2 linked regions of the Caenorhabditis elegans genome follow. The protein of the gene in region 1 interacts with the protein of each later gene in a pairwise test. Each region holds a gene or a part of one and is shown on either strand. Other genes may lie near its edges.

The links. The genes of interacting proteins can lie anywhere in the genome.
Region 2: the proteins of ftt-2 (region 1) and F08G2.5 interact in a two-hybrid assay, tested with the Caenorhabditis elegans proteins (one large-scale study listed by BioGRID).

What each region holds. Positions count from the first base shown.
Region 1 is NC_003284.9:11,603,180-11,607,166, reverse strand, and holds ftt-2 (14-3-3 domain-containing protein), read left to right. Parts: upstream 1-1,747; 5' UTR 1,748-1,786; coding exon 1,787-1,837; intron 1,838-1,886; coding exon 1,887-2,259; intron 2,260-2,534; coding exon of another isoform or gene 2,535-2,698; intron 2,699-2,726; coding exon 2,727-2,890; intron 2,891-2,955; coding exon 2,956-3,114; 3' UTR 3,115-3,459; downstream 3,460-3,987. UniProt on the Caenorhabditis elegans protein: Required for extension of lifespan by sir-2.1. Required to modulate lifespan, in concert with hcf-1, acting redundantly with 14-3-3-like protein par-5. Promotes nuclear export of yap-1.
Region 2 is NC_003280.10:13,832,534-13,835,157, reverse strand, and holds F08G2.5 (WW domain-containing protein), read left to right. Parts: upstream 1-1,526; coding exon 1,527-2,063; downstream 2,064-2,624. Other genes in the region: ins-37 (INSulin related), read left to right, coding at 1-46.

The sequences.
Region 1 (3,987 bases):
TGCGAATAAATATATTTAGAAACGTATTTTTCAAATTGAAGGTGGGTTCACTGGTTTTTGAATCTTTCCCGTAAGACAACAGTTCTCATTGATGAGTAAGAGTATACCTCACTGCACGGTGAAAGAAGATGTGGAATAGATAAGACGTAAATTGCGTTGAAGGTCTCTGTATAGTTGCGCACCACACCACGCATCTGTTGTTCCTAATTCTGTTTTGATAGAATGGGGTTTGAAAGGTTTCGGGATAGGAAGAATGAAGATGTACATGTACTTCCTCGAAAATCGGAAGTGAAGACAACAAAAATGAAGATCAAACAACAGTCGGATGTGTTCCGCGACACCAATTCTAATTGATATGGATGTTTGTACAAAATACCAGTTACAGTTTCAGAAACATCAGGAAAAATTACAGATACTATTGTAATAAACATTTTTGTAAAATTCTACATATGAATTAATGAAAAGAATGAATAGAACCTGGCCTTATATGTAGTTTAGAATTGTAAATTTATCATGCTAATTATTTTTCTGAATCTCCTTTGTAATTTAAGGCAAATACCAGGCACTTTCAAGTTAAGTAACACGATTATCAGCCTGTTTTGCCTGCATGTTTACGCGCCCTGCATATTCGATCCTAGGCTGTTGTGAAGCGAGAGCCAACCGCATCAGCTCCGAGCCTCCGAGCCCACCGCCGCTGGTCATTGATTTAGAACAAGTCTGCAGCGGTCGTCAAAGTAGCCCCCAAAGCGCTGCCGCATTGTTTGAATTTGCTCCAAGTTTCCAGAAACATCCAGGAACATGCAAGAATCATCATTTAACTTTGAAAACGGCAAGCTTCTGTAGTCACATTTTCAAATTTTCAGACCATACATTACTCAAGATAATTTGAAGGTAAATTATGGCCCAAAGAGTTATGGTGAGCGCTCTTTCTATTTGAATAACAGAGCGACTTCAAATGACGACCGAGCGCCTGGTGGGTGGGCAAAAGGCAGCCCCCTAGAAGCCTCCGCATGTCCGATGTTTTCGTCCTATTTTCTGCACAAAAATATTCAAAGTTCAAGATTTTAGGCCGAGTTTCTAGTCAACTAAAAGCCCGGAAAAAGACGAACCCGAATATCTAATTTTCATCTAATATATCTGAAATTATGTTGACTTCCTTCAAAGAAGAAATGTGGTGCGCGCTCTTGTTGACACATTGCGAAAGAGACCCTTTATGAGTCGTAGGAGGCGGCGGTTTTCTGTTGGCAGCCCCCTCGAATCACTCCGCAATTGTGTGTTTGTAGCGCGCCAAACGGCTCTTTTTAAACACAGATATCAAAACTTATATTTTCTTCACTTTAGCTGATGAAACAGACTTTCCCCTCTCAGAATATATAATTTTTATTCTGAAATTCGCAGTTTGAATGGTTTTTACAGACCCTAAAATGATGGTGCGCGCTCCTTTCGGCAGATAGGGAGAGACGCACAGAAAACGAGAGGGAGGGCTGGGAGGGGTGCCGCTCACTCTGTTCAACATTACTCGCTCGACAACGTCCTTCTCGTTTCTTCTTGATGCATTGTGTATACTTCTACAAGGGCTCATACGCCTCGTGTTAGAAGAGATGAAAATGTCCCATCAGTTTCATATCATATAAGAATACGGAAAGGAGCCATTCTTTGCTTTCTTCAAACAATCTTCATTTGTTTACCGCCCTCTTTCTTCTCTTTCTCATTTGACCTTTTTGTATCAAACTCTTTATATTCTCGTTTTTCAGTGACTCATCCACTTCAAGCAACTAAATCAACTATGTCTGACGGAAAGGAAGAGCTCGTGAACCGCGCCAAGCTTGCCGAGCAGGTATGTAGATGTCTCAGGATGTTCTTGAATACTAAAACTTTAATTTCAGGCTGAGCGTTACGACGACATGGCCGCATCCATGAAGAAGGTCACCGAGCTGGGAGCTGAGCTCTCCAACGAGGAGCGCAATCTTCTCTCCGTTGCCTACAAGAACGTCGTCGGAGCCCGTCGTTCTTCATGGAGAGTCATCTCTTCAATTGAGCAGAAGACCGAAGGATCTGAGAAGAAGCAACAAATGGCCAAGGAATACCGTGAGAAGGTTGAGAAGGAGCTCCGCGACATCTGCCAAGACGTTCTCAACTTGCTCGACAAGTTCCTCATTCCAAAGGCTGGAGCCGCCGAGTCCAAGGTCTTCTACCTCAAGATGAAGGGAGACTACTACCGTTACCTCGCTGAGGTCGCCTCCGGAGACGACAGAAACTGTAAGTGATTGAAAATGATGACTGTAATTGGGACATAACCGTGCACTCGTTTCTAACCCTCATTCGTAAGCTATGCATCCTTGTGTGAAGTGTGGAAAGATATCATAGGGAAGACAGAGAACGGGAGTTCAGGCGCGACCCAATTCCACATCGATGCGTAGTTTTTGAAAATAAACTCTAGGGCAGCTCATTGGGGGTTCTCCTCTAGGGAGTTCTGCCTCTCATAGTCATACTCGTTTCAAAGAAGACCAGAAATGAATATTCCTTCTTTGCAGCGGTTGTCGAGAAGTCGCAGCAAAGCTACCAAGAGGCGTTCGACATTGCCAAGGATAAGATGCAACCAACTCACCCAATCCGCCTGGGACTTGCTCTCAACTTCTCTGTCTTCTTCTATGAGATCTTGAACGCCCCGGACAAGGCTTGCCAGCTTGCCAAGCAGGTGTGTTAATGTTTTTATTTTATTTTAGCAGTAGCCAACATTGGACAAACGGCTTACGCGGAGGCACTTGAAATTGCAAATAAAGATCTGTCACCAACGAACTGTGTTCGCCTTGGTCTTGCACTCAATTATTCGGTGTTTTTTTATGAAGTAGCAGCAAGCCCGGATAGAGCATGCCAGCTTTCCAAGCAGGTGCTCGTTAAGTTTTTGACATAGCATCGTAACTTCAAAGCTATTGATTACCTTTAATCTTTCAGGCTTTCGATGACGCCATCGCTGAGCTCGACACCCTCAACGAGGACTCATACAAGGACTCTACCCTCATCATGCAGCTTCTCCGTGACAACTTGACTCTCTGGACCTCGGACGCTGCCACCGATGACACTGATGCCAACGAGACAGAGGGAGGCAACTAACTCCTTCACACCGACACGTTACCGCCACACACCCCTCACCTCGATCTTGAAAATGATAAATAATACTATTTGTCATATGATTTATTTATTACCATTGACTAGTTAAACCATCGTTTTTCTTTCCATTTTTTTCTATAAATTCATCAATCACTCCCCTTTTCCCATCAACCAAATGCAGAAGTTATTCAAATTTCTGTGCTGAGCCCACTCATCAAAACTTCCCGTCTCTACCCATACAATTCAATGTTCCGTTTTGTTACGGCTTTTCCCCCTTTCAAATCTCGACATTCGAAACACCCCCAAGCTTTTGAATACACATAATAAAGTTGTAACACCAACTTCAATATGAGAAATTAACGCAGATAATCACGTCGAAGAAATATTAAGAGGGGAGGATTCCGATTGACATCCAAATGTATAAAAATTAGTGCAATTGAACAAAGTTCGAATGAGAAAAGAAAACTGAAACGAACGTTTTCTTTTAGCGACATCTTGTTATTGCAGGTTGTTCTTCCTTAACCAAGATAACTACTACGTCTTAGGCACTTGCTAAGGTTCAATTCAAAATTTATTTCATTTATTATAGATATGAACAAAGATGAAAACTAGAATTTAATGTTCATATTCATTGAGGAATAAGAAAAGGTGGAGTCCTGGATTAAATCTCCGGTACATGACACTTTCATAGGTTTATTTCTAGTTAAATTGGCTTTACAGATATAGCAAAATTTTGGTTAGTGACATACTTGAAAACTACTTATTTGGACGGGTAGGTTTCATTTGCAACGCCAGGTGGCGGCGCCAGCTAACAACCAAAAAATTGGGGTTTTTACAGCCGATAATATAAGGAGTGGTAATTGGTACACTGGTAAT
Region 2 (2,624 bases), on another chromosome or scaffold:
TCGAGTGCAAAACTATGCCTGTATTAATTGTGTAAAAATAAAGTAATGTATGTATAATATATGTGGATTTGAATTACTAGCGCAAAATTTTAACTGATTTCACAACTATTGCAAGTGCGCTCCATTGAAACGCCACTTATCAACACACCGTCGTCCACTTAACAGACCGTTGGTATATATACTCTGTTGATAGAAGGTTTTTTATCAGGCATAGGTCCGGAGTCGGTGGGTTATCTGAAGAAACCACCCCATCGGCAACAACTTGACTTCCTGTTTTGCATTGTTGGAATTTGGTGGGCAAGTTGATTAGAAAGAAACGTTTAATTTTAGTTAGGCATTTTTCAATTAAATTCGAAAAATAATAAAAATTACAGAAACAAAATAAGATTTCGTATATATAGGCTTGAAATGCAGATTTTTTAAAATAGATTTTTTCAAATCATTAGTCAATTTTTTACCCAAAAAATTACACCTTACATAAAGTTGTTTGACACAGTCTCCTAATTATCGAATTGCGGTGGAGCGCATTTTGTACACTACTAGAGACCCAGAGAAACCCACCACCATTCCTCGAGAAACGTCCACCGCTTGCATTGCCTCTAGTATATATACTTCCTCCTCCCCAACAGTTTTCGAATTCCTGCGGTCCGGATCGTATGGGTTATCAATTCTCAACCACCCCATACGAACTAACTTGACTACCGGAATTTTGCAATTTTTGATAAAAATTACTTGTTTTTGTAGTATGCAAATTAAATATAAAATTTATTATTATTTGTATTTTTTTAAAAATAAATTCGTGTGTCAATAATGAGTTTCTATTTTTGAAACTTTAAAGCACGACAAAGATGGGTCCTGCTGCGCAAAATACAATTTTAGGACGTTTTTTATATAAATTTATAGCATAAATTTTACTATAGAGATATAAGAGCTATGAATTCAAAAATGTTCTCCTTCTAGAGTTATGTAATTGCCCCAGTTTTGCCGGAAATTTCAATTCCGGCAATTTTACGATTTACCGGAAATTTCAATTCCGTCAATTTGCCGGTATGCCACAACTCCAATTCCGGCAATTTGATGATTTGTCGGAAATTTTAAATTTTGTCACTTTGCCGGTATGCCGAAAATGTCCAATTCCGGTAACTTTCAAGTTTGCCGGAAAATTTCAATTCCGCAATTTGCCGATTTGCCGGAAATTTTCAATTCCGGCAATTTTCCGATTTGCCGGAAAAAAAATTTGCAAAAAAATTTGCAAATTCCTTACTTTTTGACCTCTGAAAATTGCGGGAAACATAGACTTCTATGTACTTCCAGAAATGTTCTGTGTGACCCCAATTTTCGGAGATCAAACGGCAAGGAGTTCTCCTCAAATTTGGCAATACTACACACATATCGTCATCAATATTTGCCCACCTTATCAAAGTCATGACTAATTTCGAAACTCTTCGAAATAATTCGAAACTATTCGTCAACAAAACCCACCTATAAAACCAGCACCTCTCACCTTGAAGAGCATCTCATTTACAATGAGAAAGCTCAGCACTCGTCCACTTCCTCTTGGAGACGGATTCTTCGACTCGTCATCTGATAGTTCAGAATCTGAACTTTCAGATAAGGACGATGAAGATAGATATTCCGACTCCACGGTTTCCACGTTAACTTCTCAAGATCGTAGAGACACCCAAGGGTGTCAATATCCACGTTCTTCGGAACTTCCGATCTCTGAATCTCCAGCTCCACGAGCTCGACGAGCTCGTAAACAGAGATCGAAGAGAAAGTCGGTGAAACCTCCGAACACTTCGTCTGACGACTCTTCTGATGACTCTGATGATTCTTCCTCGTCCTCTTCTTCCGATGACTCGGTGAGTTCTAAATCATCAACCAATTCCAGTGACTCCTCGCCATGCCGTTGTCGAGATGGGCTTGCCGAGTGGGAGCAGCGTCATGGGAGACGATGGCATCCGTATGGAAGAAATGGAACGTGGGAACCATACCGCAATCGTCGTCGCGGGATCTATGATTGTGAGAACTCGCCGAGAGAAACTTATTCGAATGGAGCTTGAATTTTTAAATGTAAATATTTGTTTTTAGTTTAATTGTATTCTATTTCATTTTTGGTATCCTATATCTTGGTTTAAATAAGTGATATCGAAAAGTGTTCAACTACAAAATTATTGAAAAAGGCATCAGCAATATTTTGTTTGTTGGTAGTTTTTCGATAAATCTTAAAACAACCGGGATATGACCATTTAAGTGTGTTGTCTATTTATTGTTGTGTAAAAATAAATAATTTGTATTTTTCGAATTTGTGTTTTGTTCTTTATTATTAAATTAAAAAACCAAATAATAAGAAAGAGGTCATATAAAACTGTTGCCGGAATTAAAATTTCCGGCAAATCGGAAAATTGCGGGAATTGAAACTTCCGACAAATTGGAAAATTGCCTGAATTGAAATTTCTGGCAAATCGGCAAAATTGCCGGAGGATTGAAATTTCCGACTAATCAGAAAATTGCCGGAATTGAAATTTCCGGAAAATCGGTGAACCGGCAAAATTGAAAATTTCTGACAAATCGCCAAATTGCCGGAATTGAAATTTCCGGAAAATCGGTGAACCGGCAAAATT